Linked DNA regions of Anolis sagrei. The protein of the gene in region 4 purifies or fractionates together with the protein of the main gene of each other region. This does not show direct contact. Links are inferred from orthologs where the notes say so. Each region holds a gene or a part of one and is shown on either strand. Other genes may lie near its edges. The genes, in order: CDK5RAP2, AKAP7, GPR161 and PRKACA.

Region 1 (7,358 bases), on a different chromosome or scaffold from region 4:
CAAAAATGACGATTCTGGAGGATGGCCACTATTTTCAAAGTAAGAACAGCACAATGAAACAGGAGTAACACTGTGTTGTCAAAGGTTTCATGGCTGGCATCAATGGGTTGCTGTGAGTTTTCCGGGCTGTCTGGCCGTGTTCCAGATGGCAAGCTATTTAACCTCAGCAGACTGAAAGCCAAAACCAAGATTACAACAACATCCGTTATAGAACTCCAGTACGCTAATGACAACGACGTCTGTGCGCATTCAGAAGAAGACCTACAAGCTACTCTACACATCTTCGCAGAAGCTTACGAGAAGCTTGGCCTGTCATTAAACATTGATAAACCAAAGTGCTCTTCCAGCAGTCACCAGCCATCCCCTCTCCAATGCCAGAAATACAGCTTAATGGTGTAACATTAGAAAATGTTGACCATTTTCGCACCCTTGGCAGCCACCTCACCACAAAAGTCAACATCGACACCGAAATACACCGCCTGAGCTCTGCGAGTGCAACATTTTTCTGAATGAAGCAGAGAGTGTTTGAGGACCAGGACACCCGTAGGGATACCAAGGTGCTTGTTTATAAAGCTATTGTCCTCCCAACCCTGCTATATGTCTGCGAAACATGCACTGTCTACAGACGTCACATGCAAGTCCTAGAATGATTCCATCAGCGCTGACTCCGAAAAATCCTGCAAATCTCTTGGGAAGAGAAGCGGACAAATGTCAGCGTGCTGGAAGAAGCAAAGACCACCAGCACTGAAGCGATGGTCCTCCGCCATCAACTCCGCTGGACCGGCCACGTTGTCCGGATGCCTGATCACCGTTTCCCAAAGCAGTTGCTCTACTCTGAACTCAAGAACTGAAAACGGAATGTTGGTGGGCAGGAAAAGAGATTTAAAGATGGGTTCAAAGCCACCTTAAAAACTCTGGCATAGACACTGAGAACTGGGAAGCCCTGGCCCTTGAGCGCTCCAGCTGGAGGTCAGCTGTGACTAGCAGTCCTGTAGAATTTGAAGAGGCACGAATGGAGGGCGAAAAAGAGAAATGTGCCAAGAGGAAGGCTCATCAAGCCAACACCAACCAGGACTGTCTTCCATCTGGAAGCCAATGTTCTCACTGCAGGAGAACATGCAGATTAAGAATAAGGCTCCACAGTCACCTACGGGCCCACCGCCAGTACACTGATCTTGGAAGACAATCCTACTCGGACAATGAGGGCTCATCTAAGTAGGTAAGTAAGCTATGGACAAGTCTACACAGCTGTGGACAAGTCTCCAGCTTGAGGTCAGCTGTGACCAGCAGTGCTGCAGAATTTGAAGAGGCACGAATGGAGGGAGAAAGGGAGAAATGTTCCAAGAGGAAGGCGCGTCAAGCCAACCCCAACCGGGACCGTCTTCCACCTGGAAGCCAATGTTCTCACTGCGGGAGAACATGCAGATTAAGAATAGGGCTCCACAGTCACCTACGGACCCACCGCCAGGACACTGATCTTGGAAGACAATCCTACTCGGACAATGAGTAAGCTATGGACAAGTCTACACAGCTGTGGACAAGTCTCCAGCTGGAGGTCAGCTGTGACCAGCAGTGCTGCAGAATTTGAAGAGGCACAAATGGAGGACAAAAGAAAGAAACATGCCAAGAGGAAGGTGCGTCAAGCCAACCCCGAGGACCGGGACCACCGTCCACCTGGAAACCAATGCCCTCACTGTGGGAGAAGATGCAGGTCAAGAATACAACTCCCTTGCTGCACCAGCTCCACTGGCTGCCGATTTGCTACCGGGCTTAATTCAAAGTGCTGGCGTTGGCCTATAAAGCCCTAAACGGTTCTGGCCCAAGCTACCTATCCGAACGTATCTCTGCCTATGAACCCACCAGGACTTTAAGATCTTCTGCGGAGGTCCTGCTCTCAATCCCGCCTGCATCGCAAGCATGGCTGGCGGGGACGAGGGACAGGGCCTTCTTTGGTGGCCCCTCGGCTGTGGAACGCCCTTCCCATGGACATTAGATCAGCCCCTTCGTTAATCGTGTTTTGAAGAAAACTAAAAACCTGGCTGTTTGAACAGGCGTTCAGATAAATAGTGCAATTGAACGATGAATATAGGAACGGATTTATGGATGACGAATTGGATCACGATTTTAGTTACGAGATGCTAATGTGTTGTTATTGATGTGTCATTATTTGTATACTAGGCTGTTAAGGGTTTTAAATATTGTATGTTGTACGATTGACTTTTTTGCTCTTGTTGTGAACCGCGTTGAGTCGCCTACGGGCTGAGAAACTGCGGTATACAAGCAAAGTAAGTAAATAAATAAATAAGAAATAAGAATAGGGCTCCACAGGCACCTGCGGATCCACAAGAATACTCGGCCAACAAAGGATAGCCTAAGTAAGTACCAGTAGTATTGTATTATTATATTGCAATATTATTATTGTTATCTATTATTATATTGTATTATTAGTTTCATATTCTATTACATTATATACTAAAAGCAAACCAATCCAAGTCTCAGGTAGACTGTGCCTGTGTCTGGACGCTCTATTGTATAATACTATGTTACTCTCAGGTAGACTGCGCCTATGCCTGGAGGCTCTACTGAACCCATTTCCCTTCCCTTGGAAAGACTTCTCTTCTCTCACGCCTGCTTCTTTGTCCTCCGACTGGAATTCAGTCTTGGGCCCGAAGGAGTTAATTCCCCCCTCCCCCCCCCCCTTTTTCGCGGCCTAGCGCCTTTTGAGGGCCAAACCCGCCCTCGTCCTCACCTGCCGTTGAAGCCCAAGGGCAAGGTGGGGTCCTCCGCCGGGAGGGAGTCCATGGCGGAGGGAGAGAGAGAGGGGACGAGAGCGGGCGGCTGCGGCTCCTCCGCCGGTGGCCCGGGCTGCTCTGCTCCCGACTTTGGCGGCGGGCTCGGAATTCAAACCGCCACTCAGCCCGACGCCATCTTCCCGAAGCCAACGAAGCCGCCCTCAGAAGGGCAGCCGCAGACCGCCTTAGGCCGCGTGCCCTCTTCCCTCTCCAGAAACGCCTCGGGCGCCATCTTTGTTGAGGGAATCGATGTGGCAAAAGTGGGCGGGGAAGGAGGAGGGGCTCGAGAATCATAGACTCACTGAAACATAGAGACCACCCTGTCCAACCAGGAAAAGTACAAAAGGGTCCCTGACAGATGGCCATCCAGTCTAAATAATTAATAGTAATAATAGAGTTTTAGGCAATCAGCTCTCTATAATCCGCTGTGGAGCTGAGCGCCATTTTGGAAAAGCCCGTCGGCCATCTTGAAGCCGACGCAGCCGCCCTTGAAAGGGCAACTGCACTCAAGGGTAGGGCGAGCTCTTTCTTTCCTGGGGGAATTGTTCTTTGAGGGTGCTTCGCGCGCCATCTTTGTTGAGGGACTCAGGGATGCCAGGGGAGGGGAGGCCCGGATGTTGGAAGCGCCTGCGCAGTGAGCGATAGGAAAGGGCTAAGGACCGCCCCTTCACAGCCAGCTGAATGTGAAAAGAGCCATTCTTTCCTTCATACGCCTTCCCCTTCCTTCCTTTTCTTCCATCCTTCCTTTTCTATTTCCTTCTTCCATTCTTTCCTTCATACACCTTCCCCTTCCTTCCTTCTTCCATTCTTTCCTTCATAACCTTCCCCTTCCTTCCTTCCTTCCTTTTCTATTTCCTTCTTCCATCCTTTCCTTCATACACCTTCCCCTTCCTTCCTTCCTTTTCTATTTCCTTCTTTCATCCTTTCCTGCATACACCTTCCCCTTCCTTCCTTCCTTCCTTTTCTATTTCCTTCTTCCATTCTTTCCTTCATAACTTTCTCCTTCCTTCCTTCCTTCCTTCCTTCCTTGCTTCCTTCCTTCCTTTTCTATTTCCTTCTTCCATTCTTTCCTTCATAACTTTCTCCTTCCTTCCTTCCTTCCTTGCTTCCTTCCTTCCTTTTCTATTTCCTTCTTCCATTCTTTCCTTCATACACCATCCCCTTCCTTCCTTCCTTCCTTTTCTATTTCCTTCTTCCATTCTTTCCTTCATAACTTTCTCCTTCCTTCCTTCCTTTTCTATTTCCTTCTTCCATTCTTTCCTTCATACACCTTCCCCTTCCTTCCTTTTCTATTTCCTTCTTCCATTCTTTCCTTCATACACCTTCCCCTTCCTTCCTTCCTTCCTTTTCTATTTCCTTCTTCCATTCTTTCCTTCATAACTTTCTCCTTCCTTCCTTCCTTCCTTCCTTGCTTCCTTCCTTCCTTTTCTATTTCCTTCTTCCATTCTTTCCTTCATAACTTTCTCCTTCCTTCCTTGCTTCCTTGCTTCCTTCCTTCCTTTTCTATTTCCTTCTTCCATTCTTTCCTTCATACACCATCCCCTTCCTTCCTTCCTTCCTTTTCTATTTCCTTCTTCCATTCTTTCCTTCATAACTTTCTCCTTCCTTCCTTCCTTTTCTATTTCCTTCTTCCATTCTTTCCTTCATACACCTTCCCCTTCCTTCCTTCCTTCCTTTTCTATTTCCTTCTTCCATTCTTTCCTTCATACACCTTCCCCTTCCTTCCTTCCTTCCTTTTCTATTTCCTTCTTCCATTCTTTCCTTCATAACTTTCTCCTTCCTTCCTTCCTTCCTTCCTTGCTTCCTTCCTTCCTTTTCTATTTCCTTCTTCCATTCTTTCCTTCATAACTTTCTCCTTCCTTCCTTCCTTCCTTGCTTCCTTCCTTCCTTTTCTATTTCCTTCTTCCATTCTTTCCTTCATACACCATCCCCTTCCTTCCTTCCTTCCTTTTCTATTTCCTTCTTCCATTCTTTCCTTCATAACTTTCTCCTTCCTTCCTTCCTTCCTTCCTTCCTTTTCTATTTCCTTCTTCCATTCTTTCCTTCATACACCTTCCCCTTCCTTCCTTCCTTCCTTTTCTATTTCCTTCTTCCATTCTTTCCTTCATAACTTTCTCCTTCCTTCCTTCCTTCCTTCCTTCCTTGCTTCCTTCCTTTTCTATTTCCTTCTTCCATTCTTTCCTTCATAACTTTCTCCTTCCTTCCTTCCTTCCTTGCTTCCTTCCTTCCTTTTCTATTTCCTTCTTCCATTCTTTCCTTCATACACCATCCCCTTCCTTCCTTCCTTCCTTTTCTATTTCCTTCTTCCATTCTTTCCTTCATAACTTTCTCCTTCCTTCCTTCCTTCCTTGCTTCCTTCCTTCCTTTTCTATTTCCTTCTTCCATTCTTTCCTTCATAACTTTCTCCTTCCTTCCTTCCTTCCTTGCTTCCTTCCTTCCTTTTCTATTTCCTTCTTCCATTCTTTCCTTCATACACCATCCCCTTCCTTCCTTCCTTCCTTCCTTCCTTCCTTCCTTCTTCCATCCTTTCCTTCATAGACCTTCCCCTTCCTTCCTTCCTTCCTTTCTTCCTTCCTTCTTCCATCCTTTCCTTCATACATCTTTCCCTTCGTTCCTTCTCTATTTCTTTCTTCCATTCTTTTCTTCATACACCTTACCCTTCCAAAGTGCTGGCTTTAGCTTATAAGTCCCTAAACCAATGTTTCTCAACCTGGGGGTTGGGACCCCTGTGGGGGTTGCCGGGGGTATCAAAGGGGTTGCCAAAGAACATTAGAAAACAAGAGTACTTTCTGTTGATCATGGCAGTTCTGTGTGGGAAGTTTAGCCCAATTCTATCGCTGGTGGAGTTCAGAAGGCTCTTTGATTGTAGGTGAACCATAAATCCCAGCAATCAGTGATGGATCTGGACCAAACATGGCACCAATACTCAATATGCCTAAATGTTAACAGTGGTGGAGTTTGGGGGAAATAGACCTTGACATTTGGAAGTTGTAGTTGCTGGGATTTATAGCTCACCTAAAATCAAAGAACATTCTGAACCCCACCGATAGAATTGAGCCAAACTTCCCACACAGAATCGCCATGACCAACAGAAAATACTGTGTTTTCTTATGGTCTTCGGAGACCCCATTAATAGCCCTCTTGTGATCCCTTCAGGGGTCCCGACCCCCAGGTTGAGAAATGCTGGCATAGCCTCTGGAGACATCTCCCCCAAGACTACCTCCACCGGCCTATTGGAAGCCAGCTGGGAGGAGATCCCCGCCTACGTCACCACTGCTTCCTCCAATCAGGGTGTGCACCGGCTAGGACCTGCCTCCTGACCAATCAGAGGCCTGGAGAACGCCAGCTGGCTTCTCAGCGACAACCAATCAGGGGAAAGGGAGGGAGTTTCAAAACATAGCAATGTTGATTCATGAGAATCTTCATGTATAAAAATGCCTGTTTATGGTTATCATCCTTTTACACTTGTCCCCTTTGTGCAGATTGACAGAATAAAGTCTCTGTCATTTGCCTTCAACCTGTTGAGCTTCCCGATTCCTGACTCAAAACATCCTTGGATAGTGAAGCTTGCCAGGCATCCCTCGGGATCCGCGGTGCTTTGAAAAACCGCCAATTTTCAGCATCAAAGGGTCTGTGGGCCAGATTTGGTCCAGATCCACTAATCCATGAAGGAGCCATTGTGGGACAAACCAACATACATACATACCTTGATTTTTAGCTTCCTCTCTCTCTCTCTCTCTCTCTCTCTATATATATATATATATATATCAATTTTTCTTCAATTTTTTAGCCAGTTGCTTGAGTGTTCCAGTTAACTGAGATGAATATTTATGTATGATTATGTCGTACTGCCGAGACCTGAAAGAGGGGACGGTGATGGTATCATTTTGAAGCAGTTAACAAATTTGCCCAGCGACGCTAATCGGATTGGCTCTTTTTGTTGAGTCTTATCTTAATGAGTTGTCCATTTCAGGCGATTATTAAGCCCCTCTTAAACCGGGAAATTGCAGCCGACGACAGCAAAAGTTCAGCGTCTGGGCATTGTTTGTCTGTTTGGAAGGCAGGTTCAGCCACGAAAGGCCAGCATCTGTGGGTCGGGTGGAACGAGTCGAGAGCTGGGAAGGAATGCTTTTAGGATTAGGATTAGTGCATTGCAGATACAAGCAGATGCTGTCTGGCTGCTGGCAAAATTGGAGCTTTCCTTGGATCCCCTTCCCAACACCAGCCTTTTCCATTGCAGTTTCTGTGGGTTCTCCTTTTTATGTATTTTTGCCTATCCTTTTCTCTAACCTGGTGCCCTCTAGGACAACGGCTGGATCCGTACTGACATATAATGCAGTTTGGAACTGCATTATATAGTCAGTGTAGACCCATATGATGCAGTTCAGTGTAGTTGAATTACATTATATGCATTGGCACTGACCCAGTAATGCATTGTAAGGGTCTACGCTGTCCCTATAGTGCATTACATGAGTCAACACTGATCCTATAATGCATTATATGAGTCTACACTGTCCCTCTCAAGCATTATATGAGCCTACAGTGACCTATAATGCATTATATGAA
Region 2 (7,771 bases), on a different chromosome or scaffold from region 4:
GCAAGAGTTCTTTCTACCACCCTGGACCTTCCACAGATATATAAACCTTCCTTGCCTAGTTTCCAACTGACCCCACAATCTCTGAGGAAGCCTGCCATAGATGTGGGTGAAACTTCAGGAGAGAATGCCATACAGCCTGGAAAACTCACAGCAACCCAGTGATTCTAGCCATGAAAACTTTCGACAACACATTGGCATCTTTGCTTTCTAAGCTTCTATGTACACACACTTTTCATGTGACAAATTATTTGAAATATGTATTTTATACATATTTGAAATATGTATAAAATGACCTTCATATCATGTGTATAGGTTGCCTATTATTCTTCTCTAGAGCACTGGTTCTCAACCGGTTGGTCCCCAGATGTTTTGCCCTTCTACTCCCAGAAATCCTAACAGCTGGTAAACTGGCTCGGAATTCTAGGAGTAGTAGGCCAAAAACACCTGGGAACCCCAGGTTGAGAACCACTGCTCTAAAGGAAAGAGGGGTGCATCCATACTGTAGAAATAGTGCAGATTGACACCACTTTCACTGCCATGGCTCAATGCTAGGCAATCTTACCAATTGTATTTATTTATTTATTTATTTATGACATTTATATACCGCCCTTCTCACCCCAAAGGGGACTCAGAGTGGCTTACAAGATATATATACAATATATTATTAGCATAATACAATATCAGTATTATATATTACTATACTGTACTACACCATTATATTGTAATATTATTAGTAATGTTACATGTAATATAAAATATATAATTATAATATTGTATTATTATTATTAGTATTAGAATCATAGAAATCATAGAATCATTGAGTTGGAAGAGACCACAAGGGCCATCCAGTCCAACCTCCTGCCAAGAAGCAGGAAAATCAAATTCAAGGCACTCCCGACAGATGGCCATCCAGCCTCTGCTTAAAAGCTTCCAAAGAAGAAGCCTCCATCACACTCTGGGGCAGAGAGTTCCACTGCTGAATGGCTCTCACAGTCAAGAAGTTCTTCCTAATTTTCAGATGGATCTCCTCTCTTGTAGTTTGAAGCCATTGTTCCGCATCCTAGTCTCCAGGGCAGCAGAAAACAAGCTTGCTCCCTCCTCCCAATGACTTCCTCTCACACATTTATACATAGCTATCATGTATACTATTGACCATTCAAAGTACAGATTGCCTCCATAATCTAGTCTGGAGTAATCCAACTGTCAGCTGTCAGGCATGCAAAGCACATAGTTTGGTTCTAACCATGGGCTCATCTATACCGATTGCTTAATTGCAGGACCAATCCAAAGCAGAAATGCTGGACTGTCACCTAACCATCCCCCATTACTGCTGTCAGATATCTGGAGTGCTCCTAGCCATTGCAGATGTCTTCATGCAGACATCAACAAATGTGGCCATGGAGAAAGCAAGAGTGAGTGTTCCCTGATTTTTTTTATTCAACATTTACTAGAAGAGTGGGGGGACAAGGGAAACCCAGCTCTTTAAGCTGCTCCTCATAGGGCTTGTTCTCCAGACCCTTAATCATTTTAGATGCCCTCCTCTGGACACATTCCAGCTTGTCAATATCTCTCTTGAATTGTGGTGCCCAGAACTGGACACAATATTCCAAGTGTGGTGTAACCAAGACAGAACAGAGGGGTAGCGTGACTTCCCTGGATCTAGACACTATACTCCTATTTATGCAGGCCAAAATCCCATTGTTGGCTTATTTTTAACTTGTTGTCCATGAGGGCTCCAAGATCTTTTTCACACGTACTGCTCTCAAGCCAGGCACCCCCCCCCCCCCCATTCTGTATCTTTGCATTTCATTTTTTCTGCCTAAGTGGAGTATCGTGCATTTGTCACTGTTGAACTTTATTTTATTAGCTTTGGCTCATCTCTCTAATCTGTTAAAATCGTTTTGTATTCTACTGTCTTCTGGAGTATTGGCTATCCCTCCCAATTTGGTGTCGTCTGCAAATTTGATGATCATGCCTTCTAAGCCAGGGGTCCTCAAACTAAGGCCTGGGGGCCGGATATGGCCCCCCAAGGGCATTTACCCTAAGTCTGAAACAACCTGAAATCACACAACAATGGCATCTCATCAGCCAAAAGCAGGCCCACACTTCCCACTGAAATACTAATAAGTTTATATTTGTTAAAATTGTTCTTTATTTTAATTATTGTATTGTTTTAAAGTGTTTTTACACTACAAACAAGATATGTGCAGTGTGTATAGAAATCCATTCATGTTTTTTTCAAATTATAATCCGGTCCTCCAACAGTTTGAGGGACTGCGACCTGGCCCTCTGCTTGAAAAGTTTGAGGATCCCTGTTCCAAGCCTTCATCTAAGTCATTAACAAAGATGTTGAATAGGACCGGGCCCTTGTTTTATTGTAGTTTTACTGTTTGGCAGAAAAGGCGTGTAAAACTACAACTGACAGGATTCCATAGCCTCAAACCAAGGCAGTGAAAGGGGTGTCAAACTGCATCAATTCCACAGCAATTCCCAAAGGCTAGTCCTTTGGGTTGTTTTGGACTTCAACTCCCAGAATCCTCAGCTGTAGGAGTCAACGAGCAGGGACTCTGGGAGTTGAAGTCCAAAACACAAGGAAGGCCAGGCTTTGGGAAAAACTGAGCCAGATCTGGGTTTCAAGGTCCTTTCTTCCTCTCCCTCCACCGCCCTTTCTTTGGGGGACGAATAAGGGGGCTGTCCGCGTTCTCCTCTCTCTCCTCACCGGTCTGCCCGCTGGTCGCAGGCAGGACAGGCGGCTCCTCCTCTCCCGCTTCGCCCTCCATCGCCAGCCTCTGAGGTTCCGCCAATAGAAGGCAGCGTTCTCGGAACGCCCTACAGCTGGCCGTTCCTCGCCCGGCCGCCAGGGGCGCTGGTGAGCAAAGGGGGATCCGGCGACCAATAGGCGGAGCGGCGAGGCAGGAGGCGCGCAGGGTTCGGAGCAACAAACGCAGCGCCATAGCTAGGGAAGCTGCTCCTGCTACGGGGCGCCGGAAGGGCCAAGAAAGAGATTTAGAAACGCGTCCTTGTGGAATGGCCGCTGTGGGGGAACTACGGATCCCATGATGCAATGCAAGTGGTGGGGCCGTGTGCAAAACCGACTCCTTTCAAATTCCCCCGCCCTTCCTCGCAGGAATACCGAAATGCGGACCTTCTCCCCAAATAGATCAATCCTTTAAAGATGTGACATCCCCCACAGCTGTTATTTGCTCAAGAGTATTGGTTTAAATACTGTATTTTAAAAATATTTTAGATTTAATCCGTTTTGTTCTTTGTTCTTCACACCTGGAATACTGGGTCCAATTCTGGGCACCACAATTGAAAGGAGGTATTGATAAGCTGGAATGTGTCCAGAGGGCGACTAAACTGATCAAAGTCCAGAAGAACAAGCCCTATGAGGAGCGGCTTAAAGAGCTGGGCATGTTTAGCCTGAAGAGAAGACTGAGAGGAGACATGATGACCATGTGTAAATATATGACGGGAAGGCATAGAGAGAAGGGAGCAAACTTGTTTTCTGCTGCCCTGACTAGGACGCAAAACAATGGCTTCAAACTACAAGAAAGGAGATTCCATCTGAACATGAGGAAGAACTTGACTGTGAGAGCCGTTCAGTAGTGGAACTCTCTGCCCCAGAGTGTGGTGGAGGCTCCTTCTTTGGAAGCTTTTAAACAGAAGCTAGATGGCCATCTGTCAGGGGTGCTTTGAATGTAATTTTCCTGCTTGGCGGGGGTTGGACTGGATGGCCCATGAGGTCTCTTCCAACTCTTTGATTCTATGATTCTATTCTATCTGAGACTGATAAGGATAAAATCCTATTGTCTCTTCCAACTCTATGATTCTAAGATGTATATATCTTTAATCAGAACTACAAATTTAATATTGAATCACAATTTGATCTGGGGTGTTGTGGTCACAGGGTTGCAAACCCCACTTTTTGTCTTCCAGGGATAAACTACACCAGGCCTGGGCAAACTTGGACCCTCCCTCCAGGTGTTTTGGACTTCAACTCCCACAATTCCTAACAGCTTCAGGCCCTTTCTGCTTAAGGGAAAAGGATCTGAGGCTGTTAGGAATTGTGGGAATTGAAGTCCAAAACACCTGGAGGGAGGGCCCAAGTTCGCCCATGCCTGATCTACACTATAGAGTTAATACAGTTTGATACCACTTTAACTGCTATGATTCAGTGCTTTAGCATCCTGGAATTGTAGTTTCACAAGGTCTTTCGCCTTCTCCGCCAAAGGGCGTTGGTGCCTCACCAGACTACAAATCCCAGGATCCATTGCATTGAACCCTGGCAGTTAAAAGTGGTGTCAAACTGCATCAATTCTATAGTGCAGATGTGCATGTATTATTTATTATTTATTTACAGTATTTATATTCTGCCCTTCTCACCCCACAGGGGACTCAGGGCGGATCACAATGCACACATTCATGGCAAACATTCAGTGCCATAGACACGCTACATATATAGACAGAGACACAGGCTATTTAACTTTCCAGCTTCATGAGTGTATGCTTTTTGAATTCTGGCCACCGGAGGAGCTGTCGCTTCACCATCCACTTGTGACACCAATGGAGTACTTCCACATTTTTGCAAGCTGCTGGAGAGTTTTATGGCATCTTAAATTAGTTAAATTAGCCTCCCCGCATAAGCTGTACCTAGATTTCCTACTTGACAGATGCAACTGTCTTTCAGGCTGCAAAGGTCAACAGCAAGCTAGACAAATGGCCAGAAACTCACTCCAGCTAAGGCTGGCTTCGAACTCATGACCTCTCAGTCAGTAGTAATTTTAATACAGCTGACTCCCAAACAGCTGCACCCGCATTGGTTCTGGGGAGCTGGGTTGCAGCTGCTCTCTCTCTCTCTCTGAATAGTACAGCCTTTGTTGACACTGAGCCTAAGCCTAAATAGCTCACGTTGTCCAGCTTTCTGCATTTTCTGTGTGGGCAATCATTTTGCCCCCATAAAAGGGTAAAGGTTTTCCCCTGACATTAACTCAAGTTGTGTCCAACTCGGGGGGGGGGGGGGGGAGGGGTGGTGGTGCTTATCTCAATTTCTAAGCCGAAGAGCCAGCATTGTCTGTAGACGCCTCCTAGGTCATGTGGCCATGACTGCATGGAGCACTGTTATCTTCCCACAGAAGGCAAGTAGAAGTGAGTAGAAGGTATTGATCTACTCACATTTGCATGTTTTCAAACTGGCAGAAGCTGGGCCTAACAGCAGGAGCTCACCCTGCTCCCTGGATTTGAACCACCAACCTTTCAGTCAGCAAGTTCAGCAACTCAGCCATTTAACCTGCTGCACCTCATACTGCCCTCATACTACAGTATTAATAAAACTGACAATACATCTGGTAACAATATTAGAAACCTAAGTTGGAAGGGAAGGAGTTAATAAGATACTGGAAAGAGGCTGAACTGTACAGATGGAACCAATTAAGAGTTTCTGCAAAGGATGTTCTCTCCAGGGAGAGAGAAAAAAACCTTAGAGAAAGGAGGAGCTATTTTTCCAGAAGTGCAAAACTTTCAGTCACAAGGAAATGAGGTGGAAATTAGAGTGATTTAATCCGTTTTGTACACACAAAGCAGATGAAATCAGCAGTTACACAAAGATAGCCCCTAGATTGTTTTTAACATGGCCATTTTGAAGGGTTCTTTCTATTATTTTGAATTGAGAGACCTTCACAGCGTTGCAGTTACATTCCATTCCATCTTATGCATTTGTGTCGCTGTAACTCTTTAAATTGTTAAAATTAATTTAGTTTGGATTACAGTCGGACCATTGGTATCCACAGAGTTTGGTTCCAGGACCCCAAGATCTATGAATGTGTGTTCCATCACATTCAATGATGTAGTAAATGGTGTTCCTTATATACAATGGCAAAAACAAGGATTTTTTCCCCTTATTTTCTTTGAATATTTTCACGCTGTGGATATTTATTTATTGATTTAGTTACAGTATTTTTATTCCGCCCTTCTCACCCCACAGGGGACCTTGGGCGGATTACAATGCACACATACATGACAAACATTCAATGCCATTTTGACATACAACATATATAGACAGACACAGAGGCCATTTAACATTCCAGCTTTTCTGGCTTCATGAGGGTATGCTCGATTCCGGCCACAGGGGGAAGCTGTCGCTTCACCATCCACTTGTGACACCGGGTCCTTTGATGGAGTACTTCCTCATTCTCCTGCATGCTGCTGGAAGGTTTTATGGCATCGTAACTTAGTTAACTTAGCCTCCCTGCATACAACGGTACCTAAATTTACTACTTTAGGTAGTAAAACTGGCCGGCTCAGTTTTTAATAATGTCTTGTTGTACTACTATTGTTATTGTTCTTGCTTAACTGTTTTATTTGCTAGGTACTGTATTGTTATATTGTGTGGGCTTTGGCCTGTTGTAAGCCGCATAGAATCCCTTGGGAGATGCTAGCGGGGTACAAATAAAATAATAATAATAATAATAATAATAATAATAATAATAATAATAATAATACTTGACAGGTGCAATTTTCTTTTGGGCTGCATAGGTCAACAGTAAGCTAGACTATTAATGGTCGGGAGCTTACTCCGACCCGGGCTGGCTTTGAAATCATGACCTTTCTGTCAGTAGTGTTTTAATGCACCTGGCTACTAACTAGCTACGCCACAGCCTGGTACGTTGAATTCATGAATGCTGAATCTATGGATACGAAGCTTCAACAGAACGCATACTTCTTCCGTTCAACTAAATGGGCTGCAGGGTTTTTAAATATATGCTTGATTTGAGATGAGGATTATATCTTTCAGAACAAATGGAACAGGTTTGTTATCTAGCTTCAAAACAGGTGTTCTGCTACAGAATGTTGTAAGACCAGTTGGACCTTGAAGCTGTCTAGAACTTTTAAGGGCCAAAGCAGATGAAGATTAATATTTACAGTGAACATTAAAGGTTCCACTTTTTACATAATTACATATTGAAAGTAGGTCGGCTTCTATTCTGTATCATTTGGCCGGAGGAACTAAGGGTTTCCACTTTTTTTGCCCAGGTTCCAATTACGTGTTTCAATAGAAGCCTGAAGCTTCTGCCGCAATTGGCAGTCCCTCATGTGACCTAAAACTTGTTCTAGAGGGATGAAAAACCCTCTGGGGAAGATTGTTGGCACCAGATTTTTGGATATAAAACTATCCCATCAGATCATGGTTTTTGTTAAGCATCTAATGCTTGACATGGTTTCGGGTGAAACAAAAATGAAAAATCCAACAATCACATGGGTGCGAAAAAGTACTGAGTGACAGATCACTATAGTTTGTTTTGCACACTCTACAACAGAACGACGTGTCTGTCGGGTTTATATTTGTGGCACTTTGATCACTTGAAACCCAGAAATTGATTTGTCAGGTGCAGGACACAGCGTTGTTTGCCAGCCTGGTGTGAAGACAGAAAATGTACTTTGTGTGGGTAGTGCCAGCGAGCGCTCAACCTTTGTAGTACATTTTGGCACAGGTGTTGTTGGGAGCGGTAATCACAAGAGAAACTGGAATGCCTGGATTTAAGCTGGTGGAAAGGAGAAACTGGTGGAAAGGAGAAAGCCTTCTGATATTAATACAAACTGTAAACAAAGGACAAAGAAGGGCACGTCGTTCTAGAGGTGGTGGCAATCTATAGGTTAAAGAAGATATAGAATACAGGCCGGAATGACACAGATAAAGTTACAATAAGTTATACATATGTATGATGTTGCTGATGAAAGTGATAAGCAAATTTCATTTCAGTGTAAGGAGAGT
Region 3 (7,635 bases), on a different chromosome or scaffold from region 4:
ATGCCAAATTGTTAACTTTGTTTGTGTTTTTAAATACATTACAATACAAATATTTCAAAATCTGAATAATCTGAAATACTTCTGGTTCCAAGTGTGTCAGATACGGGAGACTTAACCTGTACTTATAACATATGAATAGCCTGCTGCATCAGGCCAATGATTAGACTTCCTATTTTTTTTACAGCAGCTTCTGAGACCTAACAGAAGACATATCAGTTCAATCATGCTTTGCTACCTGCACATAGGCATGAAAAAGGAAACAGGTCCTCATAATATTTAGTTTAAGGACATGGTTATACTGGGTTTTTTGAATCACATTATCTCTCAGAATGGGTGGATAAGACAGAGACTTCATTGTTGCTCACTGACACGTGGCTTCTATTGAAAAACATTGCGTACCGGTCGATAGCAATGAGTCCGAGCGTGAGCATACTGGCAGAGCTGATCAGCATATACAGCAAGGCTGAAAAATTGCACCAAACGACGCCAAAGATCCATTCTCGCTTAATGGAACTGGTCACAACGAAAGGAAGCACAAGTACCGAAAGGAGGAAGTTGGATAGAGTCAGGCTGAACACAAACTTGTTGCTGAGTGTGAGGAGGTATGACCTTTTGTAGAGGGTCAGGACAATGACCAGGTTTCCTAAACAGATGAAGATGGCAATGACAATAATTGCAATTGACTCTGTAATTCTGCCTACTCCATTCTCTGGAAGTGTAAGGTTCCCTGAGGCGTTCTTGTGGCTGAGAGAGGAGTTGATGCTCATCATCAGAGCGTACGGAAGATGGACAGCCAGGACATGCTGGGCACCTGGAAAAAGAAGAAAAACACAGGTATCATTCGAATACTGTGCTTTTCTAAATGATATAATTTTACATTCTATCTTTAATTGGTTTAAAATCATTACATATCATCAAGTGCAGCCAGTGGGGAAGGGCTCTTTGGTGTATTCTAGATCAATGCTTCATTGATACATGATATGTGCGATCAGCAATCCATCCACATACTCCCCCCTCCCCCCACACACATCACTTCATTGCCAGTTAAATATGCCCATCGCTCATAGGACTCTTTTCATACTACCCTGCTATGATTCTATTTTTTTTTTTTTGCCTTCCTCTGGGACTCTGAGATTTGCAGCTTGAAGAGACATGAGCACAATCCCACTGAAAACTCTAAAAGCTTCTCCCGAAACTGCAAAACTTGGGATTCCACAGGATGGAACAGTAGTTGTTAAAGTGGAATCCCAGCATTACAACTGTATGGTGTGAAATGACCCTTGGTTTCCATGCCCCTTGTAATCTTAGTTGCATCTCCTATGGACCTCGCACAAGTTTCAAACTTAAACTTTGGTGCTCAGAACTGGACACAAGCCAAATAAAGTGTCCTTTCTCTTGATCTGGACACTATAATTTGGTGGATGCAGCCTAGAACTCCTTCAGCTGTTCTTTTCCCTGTTGCTGGATATCACAGGGACGGTTGACTCACTATTTGTAATGTCTGGAAGACTGGAAGCCTGATTCCATGGCACAGAGACAAGTGGTTTCAAACTGCACTCATTCTACAACAAGGATGGGCAAACTTGGGTTAAGTGGCTGAGGGGGAAAAGGAAAGGGCCTGAGGCTGTTAGGAACTGTGGGAATTGAAGTCCAAAACACCCGGAGGACCCAAGTTTGCCCATGCCTGTTCTACAATGTAGATGCGCCCTGAGAAAAGCTGGCCTTTATTTCAAGGGCCTCATCTTCCTTTCCTCTCCCTTCTGCTTCCTTCTCCTCCTTTTTCCTTCTTCCTCCTTCCTCTCTCCCCTAACTTTTCCTTTTTCCTCACTTCCTCTTTTCATTCTTTCTCTCTCTTCCTTTTCTCTCTTTTTCTCAATCTTTGTCCCTTTTCTTTCTTTCTCCATTCCCTTTCTCTGCCTCCCTTTCTCTCTATCTTCCTCTTCTTTTCTATTTCTTTCTCTTTCTTCCTTCTCCCTCTCTTCCTCCCTTCTCTGTAGTTCTCTCCATCTCCCCTTTCTCTCCCTCTTTTTCTCTCTTCCTCTCTTTCTTTCTCCCTTCCCTTTCTCTCTTCCTCTCTTTCCAATCCTTCTCTCTCATTTCCTCCCTTCTGTCTTTCTCTCTTGCTCTCCATTCCCTTTCTCTCCTTCTCTCCCTCCCTTCCTATCCTCCTCTCTTTCCTTCTTTCTCTCCCTTCTTTCTCTCTTCTCTTTCTTTCTCCCTTTCTCTCTATCTTCCTTCCTTCCTTTCTCTCTCTCCCTTCTCTCCCTTCCCTTTCTCTCTATCTTCCAATCTTTCTTTCTCTCCCTTCCTTCTCTCTTCCTTCCTTCTCTGTCTTTCTCTCCTTCACTCCCTTCCCTTTCTCTTTATCTTCCTCCCTTCTCTCTCTCTCTCTCAATCTCTCTCTCCCCCTTCTTCCTCTCGCTCTCCCTTTCTTCTCTGTTTTTCTCTCCCTTCCCTTTCTATCTTCCCCGCTTCTCTTTCTTTCTTTCTCTCTTCTCTCCCTCCCTTCTCTTTCTCTCCTTCTCTTCCTTCCCCCTTTTCTTCTCCTTCTTCCTCCTCTTCTTCGGGGTCGGACACAGGCAGCCCCTTCTCCTTCCCTCCCGAAACGGGAGGCCCTCTCTTCCCGCGAGTCTCCCCTCCAGAGGTGGGGCATGGCGCTCCATTCCGGGCGAACCCCTTCCTTCCTCCTCGGTGCCCAGCCTCCCCCTTGGGCGCCGTGCGAGGCCACTCACCGTGTGTCCCGGGGGCTGCCTTGCTGCGGGAGCGGGCTCTCTTCCCGGGACCCCCCACCAGCGCCGCCGCCCACGGAGCTCCCCCAGCGCCGCCCCTTCCCCCTCTTCCCCTCCTCCGCTCCTTTGTTCTCCTCTCCCTCCTTCTCCCCCTCAACTTTGGGCCTCTTCGGCGGGCCGAGAAGAGGATCCCGATGCCTTTCCTCCTTCCTCCCTTGCCTTGCAAGGCTCCTCCACCCGCTCACTTGGCGGGAGGCTCGTCTTCTTCGCCTTGCTGGGAAAAGTCGGCCGCCAATTCCAAAGCAGCCGACTTAGGCAGCATTTCCTCCCCCGGCATTCCTGGCCCTTTTACACCTCATCTCCCTTTCTGGCCCTCCTTCATTTTTGCTGTTCTTCTCCAAGGCCAGCTCTTTCTCGGCCGAAGGAATGGCCATGGGAGGGCAGGAGGCAGCGCTTGGGATTCAGCGGCAGCCCGCGAGTCCAGTGGCATGAGGAACACACTTCAGTTTCCATCCCCACTGGCAGAGTTTCCTGCCATCTGGGTGGTGCCAGAATGAGAACACCCCCCCCCCCCCCACATTATATGCCCAGCATCCCTTACCTGGAATTCCACATAAGATGGCTGAGGGCTAATCTACACCAGTGGCTCCCTACCTATCAATTATATCTATCTATATAAAACCTACAACCCTTCAGGTCATCCCAGATGTGGTCTCTGCCAGCCAGGGCCAGAACTTTTTCCATCAGTTAGGGGGCATCCGGCTTCATTCCTATTTTCTCTGCTACCCAATTTACACTAGAGGTTCTTGACATCTCTGGAAAACCAGGGCCAGGAGAACGTACAAGTTGATCAATTTTGTCATTGTCCAAGAAACATCCCAAAAGGCCTCCTGAGTGTCCCCCTGCTGGGTCCTCTCTTCCTCTTCCTTCCTTGGTGTCGACGTGGCCCCCGAATCCTGGTTTCCAGCTCCATTACAGAGACCACTGTTTCCTCAGGTTGGAGCACCAAGTCCGGCCAGTCAAAGACGATGGCCACTTTTTGCCAGGTCTCTTTGGTCGAAGGGCAGTCTGTGATGAAATGTTCTCCATAAACACCTCCAAGGTCATGTGCCCAGCATGACTGCATGGAGCACAGTTACCTTTCAGCAGAAGTGGTACCTACTGATCTAATCATATTTTGCATATTTTCAAATTGCTAGGTTGACAGAAGCTGGGCCTAACAGTGGGAGCTCCCCTCACTCTCTGGATTCAAACCCCCAGCCTTTCAGTTAGCAAGTTCAGCAACTCAGTGGTTTAACCCGCTGCGCCACCAAGGGGCCTATATATATATATACTGTATGTGTGTGTGTGTGTTATATTACTCAAAGCAGCTGAAAAACATGGTCATAAGACATTACAACTATTTGTTATAATGCTGTGTGGCCAGCATTAGCCTCAGGTTATAAAACTGATTTAATCCTTACATTAGCTCTCCATTCTTTGTCTTCAGGAGGAAAGAGAGTGCAATGTATGACAGGTGGGGACCACTGATGCAACTTTACTTCAGTCCACAAGAAGTGCACATCAACAGGTAAAAGAATTACAGTGCTCTCCCTTATTCTATCCCATTGGCCTCTCACAGTAGTAAATGTTACTGAACATATTGGAGCTGCAATTTTTCTACAGTCATTACAATCAGACTGTAAGAATAAACATTCCACAGGTTTCCTTTTTGTTTACGATTGGTTTAATGTAGAGCAGATGGAAAGAAGCCTGAAGGAAAAAGGAGGTATATGTGTAGTCACACAGTGCTAGCTGCAGGGAAAGAAATCACTATTTTTATCTATGAAATGTTGACAAGTATGATAAACATGTCTTCTACCCCAAAACCCAGACCATAACACTTTCGCTCAGTGTTTGAATATGCTGCCATTGGATTGGTAAAGGAAATCTGGATTATTATTGTGTATGTAAAGATGGTCAGATCACTGGCAAGGAAAGAACAGTTAAAAGCCACACATTTTGGAATACCTCCTTTTGTTACCATAACTTAGAACTAACCCATTGAAGCATGGCATTTAAAACCAAATTATTATTGGCTCAAAAGTCTATTCTACTGGGTGCTAACAATAGAATTTGTTTATCATCTTGCTTGGTTTCCTCTATAAACTTTTAAGAAATAACTAATTTGAACATGTGATCCTTTCCTCTCCTTAATCCCAAGTAACATGATCTATATAGCTAACTTTAAACAACATTTCACTCTCTGTTTAGATTACATGATGTATTAGAAAGGCAGAACAAAGATTGTATCTGGGAAGAACTTCAGAAAGAAGGGTACAGTTGTCGAGTCACAATGCCCCTCCTCCCAAAAGATTAATAGTTTATCAAGTTTATGAAATTTCTTAACTTCTTTGAACTTTGCTGGTGCGAAGCGGTGGAGATCGGAAATGGACCAACAGCAGCTTCACCCCCACAAAGACTTTATAGTTCCAACCCTTTAATAAATTATGCCTATTTTTTCCTGACTTTGCTGTTGTTGTTTATTCGTTCAGTCACTTCTGACTCTTAATGACCTCATGGACCGGCCCACGCCAGAGCTCCCTGTCGGCCATCAACACCCCCAACTCCTTCAGAGTCAAGCCAGTCACTTTTCCCCTGACTATCTGTGTAAATTGTATCTTTCTGTATACAATATCTATTTCTTTTATATAAAATGTATACTTTTCCATATAAAATGTAGCAAGATGTAGCCAGAGAAAAATCACCTCTATATAACTCCAAAGAGCCACTTCCCAAACACTGGAAGGTTGGGCAAATCCCTCTGGCTGTTTTGCAGACAGGCAATCATCAGAATCAATTGTTCATGTATACAGAGATAGTTTCCCATGTCAGCCCAGATAAGCCAAGAGGTATTTGTCTGATTAAATGGTTCACTTGAGGCTGAGAGATTGCTGACCATGGAAAGAGATGCTTAGAGTGTGTACATTCAACCCATTCTGTTTGTTTCCATCTATAATTGTCCTCATGATGCACTTTCCCCCTGTCCTTAATAAAGCCAAACCTCACTGCTCCCCTTTCTTGGACTCCTCCCTCACAAATATACTTTTTATTCCTATCTCACCCAGGGTTTTAACGTTTTAACATTTTATCTCGTGCATTTGGCCCACCCTTTCTATTTGATTTTATTATGTTATTTTGCACTGTTTATTTTAATTTGTTACTTTATTTATTTTGTTTTGATGTAACTTTTTCTGTAGTTTTGTGTCCAACTTTGCTGTATTATTTTTGAGCTTGGCCTGATGTTAGCCGCCCCGCGTCCCCTTTGGGGAGATGGTGGCGGGGTATAAATAAAGATGATGATGATGATTATTACATTTGTTAAACCTATTGACTGACAGCCCAAACTGTGAATGCCCAAGATCATCACCTTTGTTTTGGGAATCTCATGTCTTTGACTGCAGAAACCCCTATCTTTGTCAAACACAGAACTGGACTATTGAGCCAATCAAGAGCTTAGTATCATTTATTTAAACATTGTCTTCACAAATGACGTCTCCTACCAGGGGACACCCCACCAGCTGTTTGGTTCTTCGGCTGACCAACTCCAAGCTGTCATCTCCCCATGATAGGGAATCACAACCTGAAGGCAGCATCAGCAGCACCTTCAGCCATTCAGGTCTCAGATCCAGACCAGCCCCTCTCTCAGCCAATCAGGGAAAGGAGTGGGAATTTTGAATAGTTGTCAAACCTTATAAGATCTCTTGCATTCTCTGTATGTTTTACGCTTCTACACTTTGAAGCATCTGCTTGTATTTGCATCCCTTTTGGCTGAACTGGATAAACCTCTGTGTTTTGTCTTCAACCTGGTGAGTATTTCTCTGTCCTGGCACATTTGGTTTAGCTTGCACTAGCCGGGCACAGATCATTTTATCAGCAGACCTAGTTATCCACAACACAGTTGGTTAGATAATGCACTGATAATAATGGAATAGACTCTTGAAACCAGCTAAATCTGATGTTGTGGTGATGATGTAAATTACCGAGGCCCAGAGATCCAGAAAGGGGTCTGAGTCTAACTATATTGATTTTTTTTTGTCTTTCTCAGTAGGAGTAAAGCTTCTCCCCCACCCACCAATTTGTGGGTTTGACTTTTGCAGGTTGAATTCTTCATGGATTTGATTAAAATGATCTCCCTAGAAACCGCTAGATATTTTGCTGTAGTCTGTGGTCAGCCTCTAGCAGACACTAACCACAGAGTTATGTAGGAAGAACAACAGCTGGTTTCTTTCCCACTTTCTTTCTCTCCACCCTCTCTTCAGAAATAGACTGAAGAGCACAAATGGTTCATCAACCAAATAATCTAACACTACTTATATTCAGCCTTTTGCATTTGCAGGTTTAACATTGTGGATTCATTTGTGGGTTGATATGGTCTCTCTAGGATTCTCTAGGGCAGTGGTTCCCAAACTTTTTTTGGCCATGCCCCATGTAAGCATCTCTAAAATCCTGATTCCTCCCCACCTGCAACCCCCGGTGGCATATAATTCTTATTTTTTTTTAAAAAAAAGTGAATTCTTGTTTATGCGGAGGAAGTCTAAAAGGCCATTAAACAAACTTCCAAAGGACATCACATCCATGAAAGAAAGAAAAAAATAAAAGAGCAAAAGGACAGTTGAAGTACTGAGGAAGTAATCAAAGAGAAATAATTTAAATAATAAAAAATAATAACAACATGAAAAAAGCAAATAAAGCTTCAGAACCTATAATAGAAACTGAAATGCATAAATATAAAATAATTTAATGGAAGCTTTTTCTGTAATACTTTGATCATTTTAATTATTATACAAAATACTTTTTGTATTGCTTGCAATGTTAAAAGAAGAAGAGTGGGATTTTTGGAATGAAAGTTGTCTCCCTTTTCTGA
Region 4 (7,937 bases):
CAATACACAAATTTACCATATAATGTCAACAATTATAACTAACTAAAACAGTCAAACAATATACTAGCAGCAATAAAATCATCTTATGGTTAATGTTAGCCAAATCATAGTCCGTAATCCATCTAGCATCGTCATTATCCTTTCCTGCTCTGGTCGTCATTGATTGTCTTTTTCCATCTGCCAGCTTACCCGAAGGCCTGGTTCCACACCCAGGTTTTTAGCTTCCTTCTGAAAGCAAGGAGGGATATTGATGACCTAATCTCCCCTGGGAGTGCATTCCACAGGCGAGGGGCCACCACCGAGAAGGCCCTGTCCCTCGTCCCCACTAGTCTCGCTTGTGATAAAGGTGGGGCCGAGAGCAGGGCCTCCCCAGCAGATCTTAAACTCCGAGGTGGGACGTAGAAGGAGATATGTTCGGACAGGTACGCTGGGCCGGAGCCGTAAAGGGTTTTGTAGGTCAAAACCATCACTTTGAATTGGAAAGAAGTCAAAAGTTAACTATGCTGTAAGAGGAACTATTTAGGGAACTTATAGGGGTAGGAATTATAACGTATAGATATCATAGTGAGCAGAGATGAAAGTCCACGATGGGTGGGGGGGGGGGGGTCGAGAGAATGTGCTATCTACGATGTATGTCGCTGTTTTTGTATGTTGCGTGCTTTATTTGTTAATATATATCACTGTTTTTATTTTGTGTTTAAATAATAGTAAAATTTTAAATTAAAAAAAGGAATTGGGTTAAAATATGATTTTGAACAAATGGTCTTGCATGTTTCAGTTGAGAAGCATGCCTCTTTGCTCAATTTATAACTTCTATATTTCTAAATGTTTTAATTCTGAGGTAAGTATCCTAGGCAGGTCAGAACTGCCGCTATCAGATTGCTGTTTCAGCCATTCATTAAGAACAAAGTTTCATAACATCCGCTTAATCAGAGACACATTCCTAGCATCTAAATGAAGCTGCACTTATTAGTAGAATAGCTAACGGTGATTAGAAGAATAATCTGGCTAAATGTTTCGCCGTGTTTCAGATGTCCATAATTTCTTAATACATTTTTTCAGAGCGGAAGAACTTTAGTACCCAACGTTCCCAAGTTCTGATATCCTGTAAAAAGACAGACAGTGTTGTGACAGCCTAGTCAGTAGAGTTGGCAGAGGATAAGATGATGTATGATCCACTATCCATCTTACGTAATGAGAAAATTGATGCCATTACCTATCAAATTGGTACAGTTGAAAGGTGACAATGTTGAGATGAGCTTGGAAGTGATACTTCAGCTTTAAAAACATAAAGGCATTTCTCATTTTTAAATAGAGCTGATGGCTCTGCAGTTGGACTTCAACTGCTCCTTGGGATGTCATGCTTCAGGACAGGTCAGTTCCATGCAGCAGATAAATCAAGTATGGAATTATGTTTCCTGAAGTGTACTTCTCTTAGTGAAAGCTATTTCAGACTGGATATTAGCAACTAGATTTGTTTGTGTGTAAAGGAGGTAAGACAGATTTGATGCTGGTTAGTCAAACAAAAACATCAAAGATTCAGCCTATGATTATAGATGTTACATTCCCCTTAAAGTTGCATGTCTGTATCTTGGGTATACAATTGGCCCTCCACATCCACAGATTTAACCATCTATGGCTTGAAGATATTCTTTAAAATCCATTTTATGTAATAGATACAATTTTACTACACCATTATATATCTTGGAACTTGAGCATCTACAGAGTTTGGTATCCATGGGGGGGACCATCACCTATCAGATATCAAAGGTCCACTGTATTTTTGTATTTAACCCTGAGTCTGGAAGCTCAGGTTTCTGTGGTTCATAGGAGTGGGTTCACACCCAGGCCTTGAAGCAGGACAGAAATAACGTTCCCCCCTCCCTCTTTCTTTCCTCCCTCCCTCGCTCGCCACTGTTGTGGACCATCTTCATTGCTGACTGACAACATGGAGGCTCTGAACGTCTTCAACCAGGAACTTTTCTCACTGATGGAGATGAACCTCTTATTTCCCATGCAAAGATGTTTCTCATCACTAAAGCTGCAATTAATGCTATTAAGCTTTATAAGTATGTAGTCCGGATTATAGGGAAGTTTATAAAAAAATATAAACCAGAATATAAAGTCCCTGGATTATATATAATTCACTCAATTGTTCATAAGTCTCCTCATAAGCTTGGAACAGACAAGAACATTTTTGGGCCAAGATTTTGTAAAAATGTAATTGCCACATTTATATTTATATCTTTGCTCATCAGAAGATAAGAGTAAGATAGATTGTGTCCTCAACCTATGACAGAAAAATTGAGTATTTTAAATAGAAATTATCCAGCATAGGAGTACATTTGCAGTTAATGCGTGTGCATTCCAGTTAACTTTAATGTCTCTAGTTAGGCCTTGACTTGCTGGTTTTCATGTCCACAGTTGAAGCAAAGGACTATCAAATTAGGCTAGAAGCATGAAAGTTAGAAAAACTTGCTGAGATGGTAGAGTGCTTCAAGGACTCTTCTGTCTGCCCTATCTTGTTCCGCCCCTTGTCTTCTTACACAACCACTCCTTTCTGCTGCTCTGGCTAGTTGCATTTATTCTGGCAAGCTCATTAGAAAATATTTTAAGCCTTTTTGCTGAACCTGCCAGAGATTTACCTCCTGAGATGACAAAACATTCACCTGATCTAATGAGGCTTCACCTGCACAGTTTTAACCCTCTGTTGTCCCTTTGGGAGTGACAATGCCCTTCTTTTAATGCCAGAAATCAAGGCTTTTGGTTCTAAAGAACTAGGAAGGCTGCAGATTTGGCTATTGTGTTCTGTCTCTTGAGTATTTGATTTTCAGTATTGCCTGCAAGTGAAAGAATAGGAAATAAGAGGGCTGCCCCTTGCTTCAGTCCTATCTCACCCTACCTGTTTTGAGCTAAGTTGATTTACTTGACTTCAGCAATGGGAAGGGGAGCCAGTCTGGTTTGCTGACTGAGCGTTAGACTATGATGCTGGAGATCAGGATTTGAATCCCTGCTCGGCCTTGAAAACTCATTGCATGAACTTTGGCAAGTCACCCTTTCTCAGCCTCAGAGGAAGACTAAGACAGACTTCTTCTGAACAAATCATACCACAAAAACCACTTGGTAGGGTTATTTTAGGGTTGCCCCAAATTGGAAATGACTTGAAGTCACATAACACAACAACAGTGTGAAGCCACAAATCTGCACTTTTCCTATTTTGCATATAGAAATGACATTGACTGTATCTTACTGAGAGCAGATTGATTAAATAGATACTAAACAATTTAGTGTGAATGAACATTGGAAAATTCTGTCTTTCTGTTACTCAAGGCAGGACAAAAATCACTAGGGTATTCAAGAATTGCCTTCCAATATATTAAATTTTGACGTATTTTCTAGTCTTGTGACTGTTGTGTCTAACAGGGTCAACCACTGGCATTGAAGCAGTAATTCTCTTGCAATCATGTCTGATTGTTCTTAGAGGAAGTGAATATAGTCTTGCCTTATGATCAGAATGACATTATTTTGTTGGCCTGTTGTGCAGGAACCTGGAGACTGCTGAACTGTCATGAAGCAAAACAAATCTGCTTTAATTAAGCATTCACAGTGTCATTCCCAATGTGAATGCATCTCCAGTGACAACCAGCCATCTACCTGTTCACAGTGCTGAAATGGTTGGGGAGTGTGCAGTTTCATAACCAGATGGGATGGTTGTTTGCAGAGTGAGAAGTCTGTCCCTTTAAGGGCTTCCTGGAAACCTGGCACTATGCCTAGCCCCTTCTCTTTTTCCCACTTCAAGGCTGTTCCTTTGGGGCTTTTCTTGAAACAATACTGCAGATTACTCTGCCACTGTTCTTGCTGTCCTTATGTAGAAGTGGAGCCTTGCCCTCCGAACTGCCTCTGAATTTCCAGCCAGCTACGCTTTGAGGAAGGAGAGTTGTAGTGTTGGAAGAACTGGTAGTTGGAAGAACTGGTGATGGGGGCTTTAATTTGTCTCAACACTGAAAATGTAAGAAGCAGAGCTGTCATCTGGAAAGAGTGACATGGATTCTGAGTCCAACAATCCTCAAACTATGTGGGAAGGCAGCTCCGATTTCCAATTTTGGACCCAGCTTTTCCTATGGATGCACTTGCTTGGTCGGCTGGTCAGTTACATCTTGCATCACTTTGGGGGCTAAAGCAATAACCGTACTGCCGTGTTTGGATTCCTGTCCTAAATATACATTTCTTTGGCAAATAATCCATATGAGAAAAAGATATCTGGCTTGTACTTTCTCCTTCTCTTTTCCACCAACTCATTTCTTATTTATTAGAAGAGGTTTCATTTACCAGTGGCTTCTTAACTTTTGGATGGAGGCAAAGCAAAGGTTAAGTCACTAGAAGTGAGCCGTTATTTTCATTCCTGATCTTTGTGGGAAGATTATGGACTGTGCAGCTATGCACACTTTTTGTGCACATTTGGAAATGTTTTATAAATAGATTCTACAGATCATTATAACAATGAATGATATTTTGCAAAAGAGTGTTTTGCAGCCTTAACATTTAGGGAGAGGAAGTGCCCATCACCAGAAAACATAGCATCTGAACAAGCTCTTCTTTTGCCTCTGTCTTACAGACTGTATCTGTCTTGCCACACTATAGGCCAAGCTTTTTGAGTTGGGGTGTGGTCATTTCATTGTGTTAGCTGACTAGCTCTGTCTTCTGAAATTCTTCTCCCTCTTTTGCATTGGAGGATCACCCTGTGTTGTGGGGGTTTCCTACCTGGTGAGAGCCTTATTTGCCCTACCTTCAGGCCTGAGGGTGAAAGGGATTCAGAGAATCTCTGAGCTATTTTAAGCCTTATTGCGTGGCCCTCACTACAGTTGATCTGGCAAGCCTGCCTGCCTCCCTCCCTCCCTCCTTCTGTATTAATCAAATCTGCCCGCTGTTCACCCTCTGACCAGCTGTTTAAGTGACCAGGCTGCCCGTGTTTGTTGCTGAATACACAGAGACTATGGACTGGGCAATGATGGACCTTTCCTGGACATCGTGGGAGTTGGGGAATCCTGGTATGCACATGGATGGCTGCCCTGGAGAGCTGCGTACCAGTTGCTGAACTGTCATGAGTGTTTTGGTCCAGCGAAGTCATTTTGATGAAAATTCTCTCCCGGTTAGAAGTCGCAAACAGTTTGTTTGAGCCAAGTGCTTGTCTCAATCAGTTGGACAGGAATGTAAAGAGCTCTGCTGAGTCTGGGCTGTGTCTGCTCTCCTGTTGCTGCTTTCAGCCTTCTCTTCCTGCAGCAGGACAGAAAGAGGGTTGTGTCTGTCCCAATCTTCTTGCAAATGGCAACGACTGGGGCAAGTGCTCTCCTAGACCCTGACGGAGTGGCCTCACTCTGTTTGATGTGAGAGCAGAGCTGGAGCAGGCAAAGAAACTGGTGATTAAAATAAAGGGAAACATGAACCATGGAGCTGAGGTGAACTCTCGAAACTCCAGCAAGAACAAAGGGTGTAAGATGTCGGCGCTACAGAAACTGGAGAATCTGGCTGGCCGGATCTTTTACTGGGGCCCACGGAGTGATGCAGGGCTGCCTGAATGTGGAAACACAGCCTCTGAATCAGAGCACACGGCTGCTTGGAATGAGCAGAGTGAGTTGACAATAAAGCATGGCTTCAAGGGGTCTAGGGATGGGTGTAAGGTTCCCTGAATCTCTCCTCCCAAAATTAATCTGTACAGAACAAAAGCAATTGCTACTGTTCTCCTTATGCATGTCTTGGCAGCTGAATGTGGATCAGGTCAGTGAAGTAAGCTGCTGTTTGTTGCCAAAGAAAATATCAGATGTGATATGCTATTCTGATAGACATTTTGGTTGTGGCTACTGTCCATTCAGTTATTCATGCTAGGCTATGTTTTGAAGTGCAGGTTGCTTCCTTTTAGGGACACCAGAGCTGGGGAAAAACTGCTTTTTTGTTTACAACTCGCAGAATCCCCCAGCCATAGAAAATTATCATTTCTCAATGACAGAAGGGCTCCCTAGTGTGTGGCTATGATTTTAACCTCCCAGTGTTTATCAAGCATGACCATTGATCCAACTCTGCTTCACTGCTGGCCACTAAATGATTTAAACACTGACTTTAGTGGCTCTTCATTGCATACTCTATGTCTTAATTTGTCTATTTCAAGTATGACAGTCTGTATAAAAAAGGGATTACTTACTGAAATGACATAGGAGACTAGCTTAAACTGTAGGAAATGTACTAGTAATTCAGCAGCCATTTTGATGTGAGTAAAGCCATGGGGTAGAGTTGGGTGGGGGTGGCAGAGAGAAGGTGAATAATGGCAGGAGTGCCATCTATCCTGGAAACCATTTCCCTGCCTCACCCGTTTCCCTTTCCAGGCAGAAAGTTTTGGGAAGGAGCAAGAGATGACACAGGGAAATAATGTCTAGAGAAAATGCCTCTTCCCTGCACTTATCTGTTCTTTCCTACCCCTACCCAAAATTTATTATGGTAGAAGTGGGAAAACTTGGCCTTCCAGGTGTTTTGGGACAGCAACTTCCATCAGTCCTAGCAAGTTTAGTTTCTGTGCATTTGGCTGTGATGTGCATTTTGGGCTACACTGGTAATATAGAAAAATATACAACTTGGACTGCAGAGAATAAGGATAGTGAAGCATACCGAGATGTCCTGCCATATTTGGGGGAGAATGTCAGTTTTTTTATTCCAGCTGGCAGATAAGGTAGTATTTAAAAAATCCAATGTCTTCCTATACTCTTTTATTTTTGTGACCATTTTGCAGCCTTACCTGTGGATGTTTCTCACTTGGTAAGGGAGACCTTTATTTTTCTTCATATTAAATGCCTAATCAGACTTGGGAATTCCCGTCTCCAGCTGATAGAGCTTTGTAATGACACACATAGACTGGCCATTATTGTTTTAGCACTTTCCACTACTAGCTGAGACTATGGTTTTGATTCTTGACTTGGTGAACGGTTGTATTTTGATTCCCAGAGCACTCTATTTCAGGTTTTGGGTCAGAAATAGAAAGTAGACCTTTGCATTGTCTGCACTATACATTACTACCTCACAGCAGCAGAAGAGACTAAATGCAATCTGATTTTGGATCCTCAAGTATGTTTAAACAAAGCTGTGACAGTAAGTTTTGGCACTGCTGCATGGCCTAAAATAGAAGCTTGTACAACATCTGATGCCAGATTCCTCTTTGGCCTTGTTATGCTTTTGGCGTTGGCATCTCTTCTCAGTGCTGTGTCCGGTCTGTTGCACAAGAAGAGAAATGCTCAGAACCTCTGACAATCTTCTTCTTCAGAAAGTTAAATCTAATTATGGGAGCTAGGCACAATATTATAATACAATAACTTTATTTTTGTACACTGCCTCCATCTCCCCGAAGGGACTTGGGGCGGCTTACACGGGGATGAGCCCGATCAACATGGTGAAGATACAGCACATTAAAATATCTCAACAACAACATAATATAAAACAAAACAAAACAGAAAAACAACATTATAACAAAATATAAAAACAAAACATTAAACCAGTAATGAATGAGATCTGCGATAATAATCAGTTTCTGGGCATGAGTGGAGGGACTGGTGCACAAACAATTGTGAGGATAGGGCTGATGGATAAAGTGCATAGGTCATATGGCAGCAATAGAGATAGGGGTTAGTATACGATAGAGCATTATAACTTTGGGTATAGAACAATAGTAAAGTGCGAGGACAAGATTGTGGGTCCTAGCTGAGGCCAAGCTATCAGGGAGATTGTCTAGTCAAAAGCACAGTGCAACATCCACAGCTTTAGATCTTACCAGCATTTTCTACCTAGCTCTTTGTCAAAGGACTTGATGATAAAAACAATTGCGCTTCCACATGTATCACTGTAAAAACATTTGAACCTTCCAGTTTTCATTAGTAAAAGAACGATGACCAATCCCT

What was found.
Region 1: the proteins of PRKACA (region 4) and CDK5RAP2 purify together in Homo sapiens (affinity purification with mass spectrometry; 6 studies listed by BioGRID and IntAct, with this or other methods). This does not show direct contact. The link is inferred for Anolis sagrei from reciprocal best matches to the Homo sapiens genes PRKACA and CDK5RAP2.
Region 2: the proteins of PRKACA (region 4) and AKAP7 purify together in Homo sapiens (affinity purification with mass spectrometry; 4 studies listed by BioGRID and IntAct, with this or other methods). This does not show direct contact. The link is inferred for Anolis sagrei from reciprocal best matches to the Homo sapiens genes PRKACA and AKAP7.
Region 3: the proteins of PRKACA (region 4) and GPR161 purify together in Homo sapiens (affinity purification with mass spectrometry; 3 studies listed by BioGRID and IntAct, counting the BioPlex papers as one, with this or other methods). This does not show direct contact. The link is inferred for Anolis sagrei from reciprocal best matches to the Homo sapiens genes PRKACA and GPR161.

Annotation. Positions count from the first base shown.
Region 1 is NC_090031.1:14,494,217-14,501,574, forward strand, and holds the start of CDK5RAP2 (CDK5 regulatory subunit-associated protein 2), read right to left. Parts: upstream 3,017-7,358; 5' UTR 2,803-3,016; coding exon 2,750-2,802; intron 1-2,749. UniProt on the Homo sapiens protein: Potential regulator of CDK5 activity via its interaction with CDK5R1. Negative regulator of centriole disengagement (licensing) which maintains centriole engagement and cohesion. Involved in regulation of mitotic spindle orientation.
Region 2 is NC_090021.1:82,614,063-82,621,833, forward strand, and holds the start of AKAP7 (A-kinase anchoring protein 7), read right to left. Parts: upstream 3,017-7,771; 5' UTR 2,955-3,016; coding exon 2,720-2,954; intron 1-2,719. UniProt on the Homo sapiens protein: Probably targets cAMP-dependent protein kinase (PKA) to the cellular membrane or cytoskeletal structures.
Region 3 is NC_090023.1:41,704,652-41,712,286, reverse strand, and holds the start of GPR161 (G-protein coupled receptor 161), read right to left. Parts: upstream 3,005-7,635; 5' UTR 2,975-3,004; exon of another isoform or gene 2,949-2,974; intron 2,827-2,948; exon of another isoform or gene 2,733-2,826; intron 2,008-2,732; exon of another isoform or gene 1,490-2,007; intron 812-1,489; 5' UTR 771-811; coding exon 400-770; intron 1-399. UniProt on the Homo sapiens protein: Key negative regulator of Shh signaling, which promotes the processing of GLI3 into GLI3R during neural tube development.
Region 4 is NC_090022.1:112,796,777-112,804,713, reverse strand, and holds the start of PRKACA (cAMP-dependent protein kinase catalytic subunit alpha), read left to right. Parts: upstream 1-4,928; 5' UTR 4,929-5,438; coding exon 5,439-5,628; intron 5,629-7,937.